2 linked regions of the Lepisosteus oculatus genome follow. The protein of the gene in region 1 purifies or fractionates together with the protein of each later gene. This does not show direct contact. Links are inferred from orthologs where the notes say so. Each region holds a gene or a part of one and is shown on either strand. Other genes may lie near its edges.

The links.
Region 2: the proteins of acvr2ba (region 1) and inhbab purify together in Homo sapiens (affinity purification with western blotting; 3 studies listed by BioGRID and IntAct, with this or other methods). This does not show direct contact. The link is inferred for Lepisosteus oculatus from reciprocal best matches to the Homo sapiens genes ACVR2B and INHBA.

Annotation. Positions count from the first base shown.
Region 1 is NC_090701.1:35,706,959-35,716,975, forward strand, and holds the start of acvr2ba (activin receptor type-2B), read right to left. Parts: upstream 4,505-10,017; 5' UTR 4,087-4,504; coding exon 4,035-4,086; intron 1-4,034. UniProt on the Homo sapiens protein: Transmembrane serine/threonine kinase activin type-2 receptor forming an activin receptor complex with activin type-1 serine/threonine kinase receptors (ACVR1, ACVR1B or ACVR1c).
Region 2 is NC_090701.1:16,471,509-16,480,443, reverse strand, and holds the start of inhbab (inhibin subunit beta Ab), read right to left. Parts: upstream 4,242-8,935; coding exon 3,848-4,241; intron 1,086-3,847; exon of another isoform or gene 864-1,085; intron 1-863. UniProt on the Homo sapiens protein: Inhibins/activins are involved in regulating a number of diverse functions such as hypothalamic and pituitary hormone secretion, gonadal hormone secretion, germ cell development and maturation, erythroid differentiation, insulin secretion, nerve cell survival, embryonic axial development or bone growth, depending on their subunit composition.

The sequences.
Region 1 (10,017 bases):
ATCAATATTACTACAGGCTGCTGCAAATCACAAGCGGTATCAATCACATTTTTCACTTCACGCGTGGATAAACATTCAGTAACTAGCTTTACCCGTTATAAAACACTTTAAAAACACAACGTAAAATGTAAGAGTTCTACAAAACGATAGATTTTAAGACGAGCCACAAGAAGAGTCTATTGTATCTCCAACAGCGTTAGGTACAAACTCAAGATTATGGTTTAAACAATAGCTGTAAATAGCAAAACCAGAACATCGGACGCAACGATTCCCGGCCCCTAAGGATTTACATTTAGGGAATATGTTCGAATATGCAACATTATTTGAAACAATGAAGAATAAGTTCTCAAATTAAAGAGAGGTTGTTGTTTCAATATTTTTACAAAATATTAGCCTTGGTGCTTCGTTGAAACTCATTAAAATGCATACTCCTCAACTTTTTTTCCTTTTTATAACATGTAAGACTATTAAATATGATCATTTTCATAGCCAATTTGTAAAGTTTTATCAAAGCAGACATTTGCACAGTCCATTGTGAATTGTCTATCTTTATACATCCTTTCGATATGGACGAGGTGGATAGAGAATAAAAGCTCAATTCTACCATAATCAAAAATATTACCAACACCACCTTTGTTCTCTTAGAGAAAAAAAAATAGTGCCTGCCGCTTTAAATCCTGGCTCTTGCTGGAGTGTGCCCATCCCCCCATTTCCCCAATGTTTATCGCTACCCTCCATCAAACCAAAATACTACAAAGCAAATACACTGCAACAAACTAACCCCAGCATTTCTCTATTTTATCAGCTTGGTTAAAATAATCAGGTTATGCTAAAGTGATCAGATTTTACAACATTCAAACATGGTACCACCATAACCTTTTTTCTCCTCTTTCCAATAACCATGTGGCCAAAACCTTTGAAAATTTGCAACTGAACAGAGCGCCCAGTAGACATGGTAGAGATACGCTGTTAATACTGATCCAGCAGTCATGTGATAAGAGGGCTATTACAACATCATCCCACCCCACCCCCTCAATCCCTCACACACAAACAGAAGCCACACACCCAACAATACTGAAGAGCGAGCACGGATTCATTGAGACAGCAGAGTTCAAAACCTACAGCATTCCTTTTTTGTGTTCAGTTATCGGCAATAAAACCACGATAAGGGTGTAGGTGCTACTTAATCGCCACACAGATTTGAATGAATACACATTACCAAGGAAGCGCTTTTATATGGAATCGCACATTTAAGAAGGAAGTCGTTTGGAGGTGCATCTCAAAACATCTGCAGTTGAAAGAGAGGGAATCTTTTATCTTCTCCGTTTGAGTATTCCGGAATCACAAGTTAAATTATGATGGTTTAATCACTCAGATTATGTGAATTATAAAATGTCCCAAACACCAATGCAATACATGCACCAAGTAAAATGACAGATTATATGAACTTTTTCCCCCCAATGATCACAAACTTCTGTAAATTTCAGCATTGATTGCATGTTCACAATTAATCACCACAGCTACTGTTCTAATAAATTAGACCTATTAGCTCATTTACTATTATTTTGTTTTCCTTAAATTAACGCGTTTATGTCTAAAAAACATTTTATGGATAAAAAAGCTCGAAGAAAAAAATACTGCGATTACAAACGAACTTTTTGTGAAATAGAATATGCCATCTGGTTAAAAAAAAAAACATAAAATCCTTCCATAGAGTAGTCTTTTAAAAATGGTAATTCACTTAGCTCGTCATAAAGTAGCAATATGTTGATACAATGTTTTTTCGATAAAGCCGGTCTTATATGCAATGTGTACAAACCCATTACAGTTACATTAACAACCGAGGAGTTTAATTTTAGTTTAACAAAATAGTAGCATTTTATTATTGTTGGAGCCCATAAGCTCCAATACTCGACCTCGAGACCTATTTTATATTCCTACTCAAAGATGCACACAAAAACTGACCAGGCAATTGCTGTTTTAAGTCCTTCTAATAATCAAGAAACCTCTAATAACTTAAAGAAAATATACATATGCCACTTAAACATTGTTTTAAACTTCATGCTTTCATGGGAATCCTCCCAGATTTCTGTATCATCTTAAAAACTCAAATTAAAAAAAAAGTGAAAATGACACAAATGTCATAGTTGTCAGTAAACATTCTTATCAACTTTTTCCAGAAGTAAATTTAGCAAAACTGCTTAAAGACGCCACAGAGCTCAAGCCAAAACGGCACAAAAATCCAAAACCTGACCTTAAAAAACAAAAAAGCAAGATACGATGTAAAGCCAATAACAATAGTTCAGTTCAGGATAGTACAGGAAAAGCGAATTAGCAATGATCAAAATTAAACGTAAAGTATGAACAATATTCCTCTAAAAACAAAGAGCAATAAGCACATTTTACTTGCTACGGTCACATTTTCTCTTGAGCGTATTACATCAACATTTATTACATTCAAAACGCAAGCTATACAATAGCCTTTGCGCATTCAACGCAGGACCTAACAAAGAAAAACAAAGCTAGCCCGAGCAATTTCACGTGCTCATTTTGTAAACATTTTGACTAAAAGGAAAATAAACGCAAATGCACGACTAAAGTCCGCTATACGAGTGTTAAAATAAATTGGAACAACCGTCTTTGTGATTCGTGCTTTAGTTCTCTTACGAAGAAAAATTGCGAAAACAGAGCATAGTTCAATTGCCATTTAAATAAGGAAAAGACGTGATTTTATAAACAAAAAAACAGACCTACATCGGTATTTAACAATTCGCCAAATTAGGTGCATGTTACAGAACAGCGTCATTTTGATATTTTAGAAGGTGTTTTCATATTTACTTTCAGTAAAGGGAGAAAGTAACACTTAATTCGAATTTAATTTCTTTACTATGAAAATACGCACAAAGGGTTGTTTTCACTCCCCCCGGTACCCCTCCCCCAAACTCGTCAAAACAAGGAGGGAACCGCACAACAAAGCAGCCATGCAGGATCCAAAATTCAATTATCTGTTCATTTAAATCGAAATCAATGTTTATGGATGTAATTACTAACGAAACAGGTAATACGGAAATGCATGTTTCACCAAGATCAGTTAGCATGCAAGTTTGATATCGTGCCCGGAAAACAAAACATCCAGGCAGTATCGTGTTCTTGATTATACTACTAGTTGTGCAAATCTGGTTGGGGGACTAAAATGGTTCTATCAAAAATGCTGAAGCAATTACACCCACATGCCAAGTTTCATCTCACCATTCTCGGTTATGTTGTGAAAGATGGACATTTGAGCTAAAACAGACTGCATTCGCCGAAGAGGGAACATCGTTATCTGTCGCACGTGGTAATTTAAAACGAGGGATTTAATGGGGAAAATGCGAAGGAATCCGAAACCAGTGCGGTTGGTATTCTACAACTTTCAATTAGATCATTCCTATCGCAAACCAGCCCACATGACTACTGGGTAAAAACAAAGTCCACTCTTTCATTTTTAAAAGTGCACATCTCTACAGAAACATTTTTGCAGTAATCTAAGCAATGTTCATGAAATTGTCAATGTAAGGACTCGTCTAAACAACAAAAACAATGTGTTGCTACCTGAGCTACAAAAAATGTTAACAATAACGATTCGATGAGCAAGTAGTGGTCGGAGAAACATTTTCACAAATTGCTTGCAATTGTAACATTTTCGATTGTTACAGAGCCCTTTATAACGTAATACCATGAAGCGTACCTTTAACAACCCTGGATCATTCAAATTTGATACCCTGTTCAGTAACACCAAAAGTACACATAAAATAAAGAATTAAAAAGTTCCTAAATGCGACGCTACTCATTAAAAGATAGAAATGACTAAAGAATTTGTACCACAATGACGAGTGAAAAATATTTTAAAACCGAATCCCACAGAAAACAAACTGCAAGGAAATTATTCTGCCACTTTCGGCCACCCCTTGAACAACGTCCTCGGCCAAATTCATGTGGGTTTTACGATTATATCAAATTCATTAATCGCAACAAATGAATAAACAAGTCCTTACCTGCACAAAAAGTTCCCCAAAGAAGCGCAAAAGTCAGCCAGGACGCAAACATATTCCTTTAATTTGAGAAAAGCGCACCAGATTTTCTCCGTTTAAAGCGCTTTTCCTTTCCGAACATTTAAAGAGCTTATCAGCACAACACAACGAGCCAAATGACCCAGGGCCCCAGATGTCCAAAGCACCAAGAGAGTTTGCGTTGCTTTTGTGTGTGGAGCCCAGTGGGAAAAATGTTCGGGTACGGATAATAAAAAACTTTAAAATATAGGCAAATCCATCGGGAGAAAATAATTTCCAGATATTAATGTCAATAATACAAAACAACTCTGCCTGCTGTATTGTAGTGTTTTTCCCCGTCTACCTTTCGCGCTACCCCCTTTTTTGCTTAAAAACACTGAATAGCCAGAGAGACTGGGCTAAATTGACATGCAAGAAACTGAACTGAGTCCAAAATGGCTTCTGAGAGGAGAAGAGAGTAAAGCAAAGCCAGTTGGGAAACCCGGATGTTTAAATACAAAGAGAGGAATGCAATCAAAGAGGCAGGGTAGGGGGGTGCAGTAATGTTGTTATTGGGCTTGCAGTGGCGATCTAGTAAGAGAGCCCGCAAGCCAAGTGGAACCACGGCGAGAAAGGAGGATAGTATTACAAACCGTTAGTAAGACATTCCCAGGAAGTGTACGGTCGATTGAAAATATTAAGAACGACGTTTTAATTATCAGTTTATGTATAGACTCTAGGAATCCACGGGAAAGCAATAAAGCACAGCCCAAAGCCTGTAAGCAATTCCTGTGATATTGCATATAGTCTAGAATGCATACCATTATCTCTGCAAACACGTGAATACGAGATGAAATCGACAAGAACATTTGTTTTAAAAAAACAAGCTACTCCCGTATAGCATGTCACTCTGTGGCAACAATATCAGTTATGCTGAACTAACTATGTTATGGTCATGGCCTGAAAGTTCAGAAATAAGTGTCATCATTGTACATAAAATTGTACGTAGGCTAATTCTTACCCAGGAATTTTAGAATGAAAAGGGAATAGTGCATATACTCTATAGAATTAAGACCAGCCTTATCAGTAATAAAGGAAGTCGGTGGTTGTTTTTATTTCTTCTCGGGTTTTGTGATAACTTCAATGTACTGTAGCTTTCAGTTGTATTATAACTATCAGCAGTAGAAATACATTGTGTTAAAGTGTATGTAAAATCAACACCATTTAATATTAGTGTGGGAGAATACAGGAAGACGTAGGCAAAAAAAAACATGTATTAGCATCAGATAGTGATCGCTGTTATATATTAAGCATGCTTTAATTTACACTAAGGGTTGTTAAAACCATTACAGCATCGTCAATTTTGCATTGAAATTCACCTGACCTATTTCTGGGACGTTTTTTTTTCACATTTAGAGACGTTTAGATATATAAAAAGAGATACAAAAGATGGAGGAAGTGCAATTGCTGTGTATACATTTTGAGAGTTTTGCCGCAAATTAATTTACCCCGTCTAATATCCAATTTTTCATGTTATTTTACGTTTAAAAAAGTGTACCAATACAAAAGTGTAAACAGACATTCACATAGACAAAAGAGTCATTAAAAACAATCAAGTACGTAAAATAGCTGTTGCATTTTTAATGCCTCTCAGTATATGTGAAAGTATTTCTCAGTATATGTGAAAGTATTAATGTATTAAAAACTCACTTTCTCTTTCAGGCCACATGGAGCTACCCCTTAAGGTGACTTCTTTATTGCTCTCCAGTAATTGATTTGTGAGAAAGAGCTACTGAGTGTTTATACTGAAATAAAAGAGTTTTAAACCAGTTGAACGGAGGTAGCTTACTTTAAGGGAAATAAATGATTTAAGGCTGCGTAAATTTATGTAGGCATGTTAAAGATGGAGAAAAATGCCTCACACGTTCATACTGTACATTGTGTGATTAGATCAGGCTTTCAAGTAGCACAGATTTTTAGAGCACTATCTTTGCTCCTGTCTTGGTTTCTTCTTTCTGTTTCCTTCTTTCTTTCATCTGATTCCCTGGATTCACAGAAGGCGGTGAACAGCTTGAGAGTTTAGTTTTACTACAGAATTCTGCAGCAGCCACTGACACGCATTCTGAGGTCTCATAAGAACTTAAGAAAGGTTTAAAACTAGAGGAGACCACTCAGCCTATCGAGCCCATTTGGAATGGTAATTAGTACTTAATTAATCCAAGGACCTCGTCCTAGGGATACACCGAGGACAGAAAGCCAGTCTATCTCAGAACACACACAAAGACACATACCAGGTTCAGTTTTTAAAGAAGCCAATTAACCTACCAGGAAGTCTTTTGGACTGTGGGAGGAAATTGGAGCACACAGAGGAAACGCAGACAAACACAAGGAGAACATACAAACTCCACTCAGATTGCAACCCCAGAACTGAACCCAAGTCCTCAGAGCTGCAAGGAAGCAATGCTAACCACTGTGCCACCATACTGCCCAATTGTACCAGTTAGTAGTACAAATGGAACAGTTCATAATATCATTCAGCTCAAATGCAAAACATTAGTACCAAGAGTGATGAATTTGAAGGGACTGGGAATTTTGATGTTGGAATGCTGGAATGTTACAGCATTTGGTTGCAGATCATCTAAGTGTACATGCAGCAACCATTTGCTGTTAGTGCCAAGACAACTGGTGACAACTGGTTGTGTTAGTGGTAGTCCCTATTCTGGTACCTTACATACAGTATCACCGCAGGAAGACGTGAAAGGAACTTTTCTTTATCAGCATTGCAACCAGTTTCAATGAAGCAGAGACGCAACAGATGCTGTAATCTGAACCTAAAACATTCAAAATACCGACAGAATATTTTCTGCAGTACATCAAAGCCTTATGGTAAACTGTGTATTGTGGTGTCGTTGGCTTTGTCATAGCCAATTCTTACCAATTAACACTGATTCGCCCAGCAGAAGCAGGCAGTTTAAGAAGCTGACGTCCAGTTAAAGAAATTTGCATTAACACGTTTTGTAAGAGGAGGAGTGATAGTGCAGGGTGCAACTAGTTCAGCTCAGGGTTTATCAGAATCTGCTATTCAGGGTAAACACAGCCCCAAGTGGGCAAAATCTTGCAATAGGTCTTCCACAAACTAATTAATGCAACCTTGCAGACAAAGACATCTTATTTTCTAATCCTATAATGCCAGCCTCCACTCAACTAGGGTTAAGCAAGCATTCCTTCATGCATACGATATTCAAGTGTAGGATTGACCTTCAAGTTCACCTGATATGAGTGCAGCTGAACCTTTGTGGGATGTGTTGGGCCATCATATTCAACCATGATGCAGTATCTTCAGCCTTAGGCCATTGCAGGAATTTCTGCAGGATGTACAGTTCTCTCAAAAGTCTGTTTAAGATGTGGTTTATGGCTTATGGCTTATGGCTTGTTTCAGGGCTCCAGGTGGTCACACCTGTTACTTGGCATCTGTGATCCCCGCCAAAGCCTGGCCATATAAGTGTGGAATGTGTTTCATCAGGTTTTTGCAGTGATAAACAAAGCAATGAATTTACCATATGCATCTTCTGTCACAGGGACATATTTTAGTGTTATAAAAGTATTTCAACCATGGAAATGTGTTTTACGTCACTCTGTACATTTAATGTGCCTTCAAGAACGTATCACAAAAGATAAAATTGTTTCTTTAAAGTTCAATTAAATTAAATCAATATGAAACTCACTCTTAAGTGTGTTTTGTTAAAAGAAAAGTATTACTGAATTTTAGCCTTCTTGATACACAGTCCCATTATTTGCAAATCTGTATCTCAATTTCATGGTCTTAACACTTAACTTTTTGTTAGCTTTGAAGCAGTTACATTAAAAGCTTTATGGAAAAGGTGCATTTATAATTTGTGCTTTGAAACAAGGTATTGTGTGTCCTGCATTACACCAATAAAATGTACATCATTAGCAATATGGCATAAAGGTATAACTTCATACTTAAATGAACACTTTATGGTGCAAAACATAAAGTATATTATTGCTTTTGGGACCACATTTCAAAAATAAATTTTTAAAATGTATATCATTTTTATTTTTTCTGATTTTTTCAGTGCTGCACTAAAAATATTTTAATATTTTAGTTTTCACACCCTTTGTGAAGTGTGAACTGTATGTGTGCCTTTACAGTAATAATGATGGTGAAACAATACCAACATATTTGCTCAAATATAATTCTGTTTATGAAGGTAACAAAACTTTTGACCCTTAAATATGTTTTATACAAGTGGTGCATAAACTCTGCCACAATTCTAAACCAAAGCAAAAAATCTATGATTAAAATGAATTAACATCAGTGAACCTCATTGTATATGTTTTTTACTTCAGAAAAGCAATATATATATATTTTTCAAAATCAATCTTTTACAAAATAAAAATGTCCTTTAGAGGCAGATACCAAATAACATCAAATATGTTCATAAAATCTTATCAATATGTGAAGAATTACAGGGAGCAGGAGGCCTTTGGCCTGTCTTATTCTTCTGATTGCTAGAAACTAAAAGATCTAAGAATCTGGTCTAACTGCATCTTGATGTATGATGACTAAATACAGTAGCTTGTTAAAGACTGACAACTCTTTGTGAAAAGAAGTGCTTCATATTTATACTTTGTCACTCAATACCTTTCAAGATTCTGAATAGTTATGTTAAGTCACCTTGTTACTTCATTTTTCTGTAGCCTGAAGACATTCAATTGCTTCAACCTGTCTATGCATAACTTTTTTAGACTTAAAATTATTGTGATCACTCCTCTAGAAACTCTTCTTTGGGCAACACTGTCATCTTTGTTGTATAGTAACCGAAAACATGCACTTTACATTGTGAAAACTTACTATAACTTCCATTGGTTTGCATTATGCACTTTGCACTATATACCCTAGATCTTGAGCCAAAATATACCCTTAAAGCCTAGTAACCCTAGTAAAAGTAATTGTTTTATATCCTATCTGATACTAATTACTTGTATTCCTTTTACTCTCTGCATACATTGATTTTTAAAACATATTGATTTTTTATTTTTTGCAACTTTTACATGGTTTGCAGTCACCCTGTTTTTCTTTAAACATTAAAAAGCTTACTAGCAATTGCACTGTCAAGTTTATGTAAGTTACTGTAGGAACAGCAAGACTATCCTTTAAATGTAGTTTACAGCTAAAAGATTCTTGTTGATTCTAATGTCTTCAAAACTTTATACGTAATGAAGACTTACTGGTCTTTAGGTGACTGGCTAAGATTTTACCCTCTTTTAGTGGATGGGTGTTAGATGTGCAATTCTCTATCTGTATATACAACTGTTAAAAGAGTAATGATTAATTGACTATGAATAATATCTAATTTCTGAGGTGATTTGCTTATGTAGTCCTTGACACTGCAACATACACCTTTGGTAATACTAAGATTAATCAAAACTGAACTGTTCACTTATTTCATTTTTAGGCATGTTGTCAATCACTCCATTAATGAACACATATTACCATTTTCTTTCTTAGTCTATGGGTTCTGCCTTATATCTGCTTAATATTTTACATCAGTTTTACATCAGATCAGTGCTTTCTCAAAATGACAATACAGACAACATAGTCAAAACTGTGCATGCATATATAATATATATAATAAAACACGTTGTGAAGATTAAATAATTTTGTATCATTCAAAGTCTTGTTTAAGAATAATAATGTAAATATTCTGAACTATTTTTGATTGAGTAATAATGTAGACAGATTTTACCATTTGTGAGATTCAAATAAACAAGGCTTAAGAATTTGTCACCTTGGGAATCATTTCACTTTTCATGCACAATGAATGTTGCCATTTGAGATGTTACTGATCTATTACCTTTAGAGAATGAATCTATTTTTTTTAAGTTAAACAAGTTACGTGCTAATTGGAATATTACTTTTGTTGTCATTACTTGTATTCTACCCTCCATAACATTTTGCAGTTGT
Region 2 (8,935 bases), about 19 Mb from region 1:
GTAATTGGTGAACTCTCCATACCATCAAGTTCAGTGTGTTCTCTGCCTGAAACTCTTTCAAAGTCGGTCACACTGCTCATCAGCATGATAGGCAGGCTTAACCAAGTATCAGGGCCTGCATTTCTCTGAATGAAGCAATTAAGCACAGCATTGTTTGAAGAATTGCGCAGCCTGCTTCTAGTCTGCTTCTGTGCTCTGTGTTGCATTGTTAATATCTCCATTCTTTGATTACGAAACCTCATAGGACAAAAGTGTGCACTGAAGTTTTAATGTAACGGCTCTCATGAGCTATTAATAGTGAAGAGCTATTATGAGCATCATTCTTATGGAAATATGAGCAATGCAATTCCTGATGACAAAAACATACAGTATGAGTGGTGTATAGAGATGTTCACCACTGTGCTTACTTATCTTAGACACAGTGGGTATTATGAAGCAGCAACAATTTAGTTAATACCTCCACTAGTGTTTTCTATTATAACGCCTTTGATTTTTCTGAGGTGCTCCTTGTCATTAACAAAATCGTCTCCTCTTTCCTCTCTTTAATAGTCATAAAGCTGAAAGGCTATTTTTGTACTATAAAACAGAATCTGGGGATTAGTTAAAATAAAATGGTTAACAATTCAGTTGAAGATTGCCATATAATTGAATGTTTGCAAAAATAAGCAAAATCAATTAGTTTAAAAGGAGGACGATATGAAATGTCAAACAAGTATACACTGTACTGTATATACTGTACAGTATGTGTTAATAGCATTTTTTTCCATGGCATGCATGAAGATACTTTTTTTCAAAAAGAATATGGAAATTAAAACTGGTATCAGAATACTGATGTACTAGTCACGAGGAAATCCCTGTTTGGACGTTTAAGCCTAGATTTTTTTTTTATTGTTTTGGTTATTTTTATTTTATTAGAGGTATACAGACAAGTACAGCCGTCTGTCAGCGGTTCCCTCTTGTGGTTTTCGTGCGGAATCGCATGTAAAAATGATAAAAATTGACGGCAAGCATTTCTTTGGTGAGAAAAAAATGAATAGTGGATAAAGGTTGTGAAAGGAGGGTCTTCTTATCTGCATTTAAATCGGGTAAGACTCTTTATCTTTTTCTTATCGATGTATCAGAGGATTTACGTCAGGCTTACTTTGTATAGATCATAAGGAATAAGAGTTCTCGGTATGTCCACGATTTATTTGAAAACATGGACGCACAGAGTTGCTGTGCAAGCGAGCCGCATCTTTCCCGTAAGGATTTCTTTAAAGGTAATATTAACGTATGGGTCACGTGTCTTGAAAGGACGCACGTTAAATTGTTTTACCTTTAAGATAAAAAAGTAACACTAATGAAGCTTTGGCATTTCTGCTTAATCCATTGGGAGCAGTGAGGTTGGAATGTAATTTGACGAGTGTTCCGTGAAATCTAAAATAAAATCTGTTTCATGTCAGTAATGACATTTAAACGTAAGAGCTGTTCAAATTGATGAGCATACTGTAGCAAGCCTGACGTTATTTTATTTTCACAATAAAGCGGGATGAGCATAAATGTAATAGTTAAAGTCAACAAAATGCAATTCGCCGAATTAATCAAATACAATTTGGGGTTTTTTTTTGCAATATTTTACGAATATCAAGTATGGGTTACTAACGAGTCCAAAACACTGTACGTCTTAGGTCTACTTATCTCCAAAAGAAAATGTTTCTGATGCTCATGTTTCTTTAAGGCTATGGAAAGGAAGATTTGCGTATACTGTATCTGACAACCGTCTTCCTTCAGCCCTTCAAAGCACTTGAAGTAAAGTGTTGCAGGTTTTACGTGTTTGATGGCAATATAAACCTGGATTTGTCCTATGACCACTTTACACACGTGTGTTACTGCTGCGTACAACAGAATTTGCGGCATTTCGTCTATGGACCGTTTGATGTTTAGGAAGTCGAAAGCATGCATCATGATAGATTAAAGCTCCACTGCATTTACTAGACTTGATATGAGAGATTTCGGTACCTGAAGTACTAGTGCTTGCTCATTATTGGACTAAAAGTCAACCGACTTTGTTTGTGCCTCAAAGAAAGTTTAGCAGCAGGACTTGGGTGAGATTGTTCTGTCATTAATAAGGTCAACGGTGAGGTCACGTAGGCCAGTCATCAAGTGAGGTAGCATGCTGATTTGCAATACAATATAGGTTTGGAACCTCAGAAAGTAGGCAATGTCAACCTTTTTTCGCCCAGAAAAAAAAGGTAAAAAACTTAGCTTTCTGAATTAGATAATCGATAACTACTGTAGCACAAATCCCTTTGGCAGAATACTGGGACATGCCAGAAATTAAAAGATACTCATTCAAAATTGTTTTACAAGTGACAAATGCAATCATTTTAATTTTAAATATCTGCTTCTGGCACTACTGTGTAAATCCAGGTATCCAATTTGTATCTCATGCTTTTTTGCGCAGTTTGAAGTTTTATCTAAATGAGTTAGAAACAAAAGTTTTAGGACTATTTACTGTATACTTACTGTTTAACAATGAAAAACATAGTTTGTAGTATACTAAATAACTACCATATTTTTAACTGCAAAAATTCCTCTTTGAAAATAATTAGAAAAGGTTGAAAGTCAGTTAGACATGAACATGCTGAATACAGTGGCTCTCAGTCATTAAGTTTCATAAATGCAGATTCTCCAGTACTCCTAACATCCTCTGAACAACTTGACATCATTATACTGGTGTAGTAAAAATCTTTCATTAAAGTCAAACAATTGGTCTCAGTGCACGCCTTGCCAGAACATTGCCACTTCAGTGAACTCTCGTGTTCTTTTATTTTGTTAATCTGTACAGTCCACTTTTTGATCTGTAGAGCTCTTGAGCAAAGTACAGGTGTCATTCACTGCCAATGAATACAATGAATAGAAGCTCTTTGCCATACAGTTTTGTGGAGCAGACTTTTCTCATTACAGCTCATTTCAGGGCTTCCTGCTGCCAAATTAATCCTGTTAATTTAAGGAGTTTTACATACTCTCTACAAGCAAGTTTATCTAATCACTTCAGATTAAGCTGTTGATTTTCAAAGACTGTCAGGCTCAGTGAGTTTTGGCTTGCTTTGAACTTGGGTCTCCCACCTACTAGTCAGAACCCTCTTTTGCTCTTTTTGTCATAGCACAGAATATTCATTCAAATTTTTCATTCTTTCATTTCATTTAGTTGATTGTGTGAATGTATGTGTACTTTTTTATGCCAATATAATGAGGAATTGACTTTTTGCAATGTTACTTTTCCCACATTAAAAAAGTGGCATGTTTCAGGACAACAGGGTCTGTTGTTCAATGCTGAGTCCAATTGCTATCTGGACTGTGCATTTTCTGTAAAAAAACATTTAGACGTTAGATTTACTGTGAAACAGTAGGGGTCTCTGACTCCTGAACTGTGCTAACAGGCACACTTTGTAAGAAGCAGCAGTCAGGAGGATTTTCTTCAGTTATTGAGAATGCTGGAGTGCACTCTATGAAATTGTCTCCCTGCAGTACAAAAGGTGACAAATAGACAGCTCTGAAGAGTCAGGAATCACAAATATTCACATCTTCTACGTGCTGAAGTTGTGAACGTAGTTTTAGTAGGTAATTGGGTATCTAGCCTTCAATCAGTAGGATGCAACAAAATACCTTTAAGAGGGGTGCCTGAGTACAGTTTTAGATAACAGGTCTTAAAATCTTAAATTCTAGTGCATTAGGCTTGTTCCTCAGCCTCAGCTGCTTCCAAGAGAATTATGTTTACAAACCTGTCTAACTGGGTTGAAGACCTGCCCTCTTCCACACCTTGCCATTAAATCTCCCCCCCTCAGTTCAGACATGGGCTACTCACCTGCCTCAGCAAAAGTGATGATTTCCGAAGTTTGCTCCGCCAGCTCGCTCATCTCTGCCCGGCTGTGAGCCTCATCCTCAATCTCCACGTTGCCATCCTCGCCAACTTTTCCCACGTGTAGTTTTTTGATGGCATTCAGCAGGGCTGCCCTGGGCACGGGGTGGGTGATGTTGGGTCTTTCCTTCAGATGCAGCATGCTCAAGATGTGCTTCTTGACGGCCTCGACCATATCTGCTTGGGAGCTGGCAGGCACATCTTTCTGCAGCTTGGAGAGGGCACAAGAGGGACAGTCGGTGACCGGCGTGTGTCCATCAGGGGAGCCAGGGGTGGGAGAGCTCCCTGCCAAAATCCCAGAGAAGAGCAACAACATTCCACTCAGCAGAGAAAAAGACATCCTGAAAGAGTCAATCTGAGTTGTAAGTTTTCCCCCTTTTTACACTAAAACTGAAAAAAAAAACAAAGTAGAAACTAAGCAAAAATAAAGTATAATCCCTTTTTTTAAAATAAAGAAGCAAGAGCAAACACTTTGCAGATCTGGAAAGTTTGAGTCTGGTAGCTACCGAAGTCTTGATCAGTTAGTCAAAAAAAGTTTTTCTAAGTTTATCAGCTGAAGTTCTGTGGCAGTGTAGATGTGTAGTGCTGGAGGGATGTGCAGAGCACCCGATAGGTCTCAGTGAGTTCGCTGTGTATGAGCTGAATGGTTTTGTATAAGTGGGCAGGGTTAGCTCACTCACTCTCTCACTCTCTCTCCCTCTAATTATACCTCGCTCCCTCCCAGTTTTTCTATCACTATACTTCTGAGTCATGTTATACCAACTTTTTCTTTTTTTTATTGCTTGTCACCCTGCATATTATACATAAACTTCACCTCCTTTTCATGTTCTTATCTTGTTCTGGTTTTCTGCTTCTCTCAAGCTTCTCATTTATTTAACTACAAAAATATATCATTAACGTGTGAAAAGGCTTGATACTGTCCAACTGGGTCTAATTGTACAGGTGCAATCAATGTTATCATTCATAATCGATTCTTTTTTGCATTTTTGATGATTTAATATTAAGGAAACTATGTGTATTATCTTAGAAGCATTTCACTGCAAACATTTGTGAACATCTGGTAAGGTTTTATTAATGCTGAATAAAATCTGTAAATTAGCCTTTCTTGCTGCGCTGGGCCAGTGGACATAGTTATACATGAAATACCTATCACTTTGTAACTCACTTCCTCTGTATCATAAATAACCTCTTTGAAGACAGCACCTTGATTTTTGTCTAGATTATTATTGTTCTTCTAAACAAAATGTTTTTGAGTTTAAAGCTCAACTATACACACACTAAACAATTAGTCAGAAAGGAGCACATTGGAAAGTAAAGGTTTCCTCGTTTCCTGATGTACTTGCTTTTGAAAAAATGTCATTTTGTGACTAAGTGCTTTGTATAACCACAACTCATTTTTAACAATCATTCAGAAAAAGTCTGACAAGGAAATTTCTCAAAACCATAAGCTAGGTTCCTGAATGGTTTGGCTATGGCCTCCTGTTGGAGCACAAGTTGGACCCTGTACTGCAGTTCAGAGATCACTGGTTCAAATCTAGGCAATGTCATGAGCTACATATATCCCTGGTCAGGGTTTCCCAGAGGAAACGTCACATTTGACAAAGTACTGCCAGGGGTTTGAGGTTGGCCAGGGTTTTCCTGTGGTCCGGCTCCAATGACTTTGCAGTGTGTGCCTTCTTCAGCTCTCTTATACTGTACTTTAGAAGTCATTTTGACACTTTCTAGAAAATTTTAAGCAAGAGAATAGTCATTGTTCTTTGTTTCCTTTTAATTTTTTAGTTTACTTAACAGACATGAACAAACGTGCTCTTGATTTCTTTGAAGAAATCTCAAAGGACATGCATTCTGGGCTCTTTCTTTCCTTTTTTGTAAAGACTTAGCAACTGCACAGCTTACATTGACTTATTCAGGTATTTTGGTTATGTCCATATGAACTAGTGAGGTCAATTAACTCAGCAGCAGCCTCTGCTGGCAAAAAATGTTTCTTTCACCCAAATTTCAGTAACCTAGCAACCTAACAACTATTACTGTGCTCTTCACAACTCCTGTTCTCTTATTTCTGTTACCTCTCAACTTCATGCTCCGCAGGGTAGGTAATTAATTTCAGAACTTGCGCCATCTTCATGCTCTCAGTACATATTAAATTCATCTTGAGTGATGCTGGCCTGGAGTTGGGTATACTTCCTTGGAATGCTTGTGATCAGACCTCTTAAGGTCAAACAATATTTTGAAGAAGTGGGATGTTATTAATATTATGTTATTTTTTCCTGCATATTCCCCATTTTCTTGTCAGCCCTCAGTATTGCAGCTGTTGTAGCTGATTAGCACAGACAGATGGCTTAATATTACTAGTGTTGGCCTGCTTTCGATCTGGAGGGATGTGAGTGGTGATCCCATCACTCTCATCATCCTGGGACTCAGAGTAGGCCTGCAGATGCAGTGTGACTCCTCGTTGGCATGGGTGTGAGCTCTGTTATTAATGTTGGCCTAAAGGGGAAAAAAATGAGGAGGAATAATACAGTTGCAGCTCAGTCATATAGAGGTGGAGACCTTTAAGGGCAAATATTGGTAGGACTGCTTACATCCCACATCTCAAGAAAAAAAAAAAGTTCTGCATTGGACTAAAACATTATTCTTCTCTTGGAGGAAAAAGTTGACAAAATAACATTTTTGAAGAAGATGTGAATGATCAAATGTAGACAATTATATAACATTAACACATGAACAATGTAATGCAAGATTACTTTTTGGAAAGGCGAGAGGTGGTTCTGTCTAATCTGAACTGTCATGTGAAATTTGTTTAAAGGCTTTATTTTAGTCATTTTTACATCCTGTATTTATCATACCAAATTTTACCTCCCCACACACACTTCTCAGATTGTTTGGCCTGATTTATTCATCTCCTCTCAAAATATCTACATTTCAGCCTTATCTTATTAGGATAATACCTGCAACAGTCTTGCAGAACTACATGAGGATTCCCCCATGACTGGTAGTAACTAGATCTATTTCTCTCATATCTTCAGAGCAATTTCTGAACACTGGCCTTCCTTTTCAGTAGAATGAACTAAATTTGTCTGTCTATAATGATTTCCCCCCTGTCTCTTATCTTATGAGTGCTTAGAACAAAATTCTGTGGTTCATAGTGCCAGCTAAACCCATTTTCTAACTTGCAGCCAAAAGCAAACACAGATAAATTTCATTATGGTAGATATGCATATATAGTATTATTTTCACTATAATGTTGTTTTCCATCTACTATCTTACAAACATCACCATGACTTCCCTATTTCGTTTCTAGCATTGCTGTATTATCAGATTTCACAAGTTTTTTTTTAATGAAAAACTTACAGTTGAGCTAGAAGGCATTACTAAAGTTTTGCCTGACCAAATTAATATTTTTGGAAGCTCGTTGATTAAAAATAGTTGGAAGGGACAACCATGTTTTTTTTTTCCCACTAGGGGGCAAACTATCTCTAAAGTATAGTTAGTGCTGAATTGTCCTGGAGGCAGGACAGAATGATGTAGTGCTGGAATGGAGGACGTGCTCAGAACTTAAGTCCTCACAATTTTAGGAGGGGGAACATTTGCTAAATGATTCACTTTTTCTAACCATGAAGCATCACTGTGGCTATCCTGCTGTTTGTGCTAGATAGGGTGGGTGGTGAAATGATTAAAACATTTTGATCTCATAACTGATACTTTTTTATTAAGAAGATATAGTATCAGATATGTTATTTGATGCTATTTTGAGCTAGCTGAATGTGACATAATGCAGCTACAAATACAGTACATGCCACTTTTTACTGCTAATTAATGAAATGATCTCATTCTGCTGCTCTCAGAAATGTTTGATTAGTAAGAAAAACATTTTTAACAATGGGTCAGAGTAATGCATTACTTTTGATTGGATCTCTGAGAATAAACTCAGTAATTTTAAATGAGTAAAAGTCTTGGATTTCCCTGTTAACTTGCGTGTTTGCCAAATTTCTATACAACTGTGCTGAATTAGCTCTGCCACAGAAGCTTTACATGGTGAAGCCAAATGTAGCAGTATTCTTCAGACAGGAACTTGTCAATGGGATGGTTTACAATTATAGACCAAATAACATGAATGAGTAAAAATATAGTTTGTCTGCACTTCGTGGCATTTTGTGTGCTATGAGAATTTATCCTAAAATACAATTTAATATATATATATTATATCTAAGGTGCGGCACAATGGTGCTTTGGATAACCAGCCTCGCAGTGGTGAGACCCTGGGATAAAGTCCTGGGGTGCTGTTTGTGTGGAGTTTGTATGTTGTCCCTGTGTACATATGGTTTTTCTCCAGGTTTCCCGGTTTCCTCCCACAGTACAAAGACATACTGGCACCTGAAAAAGTGATCCAGGTGTGAGTGTGTGCAGGTCTGTGCCTGTGTGTGTCCTGTGATGGACTGTGGTCTCGTCCAGGGTGTATCCTGTCTTGCTCTTGTTGCCAACTGTGTTGGATGGATGGATAGATCTCGTACCTAACAATATTTAGTGTATGTATGATATAATTCAAAAATAATGTACTGTATTTTAACAAAAGCTACAAAAGAGGAAACAATCTTCACAAATTTAGGAAACATGTATTGCAGGTATTTTTTTTCCATTCTTAAATGTTTCTTGTGTTTTAGAACAATTGAATGAAAAAACATGACAATCTCAACAGTTTAATGTTGACATACATACACTATATATTGTTAGGTACGAGATCTATCCATCCATCCAACACAGTTGAACAATTCTTACCTACTGTGAACCTAGCAAAAGAACACACACGTTAACTGTTAAATCATTAAGAACATTTAAAGTTTATTAAACCATTCATTTTTTTAATGTCAGACATAATAAAGCCATTGATTCCACCACTTCCTACACAGAGAAAAAACCTGGTCAAATGATAATTTATACACTTGAAGTGCTGGGTTCATCTGCCTTTTTCTGTTTTCAATCAGACTAAAATTGTATTGAAGGGACCACTTAATGTGATGCTCTTGATTAGCTCTA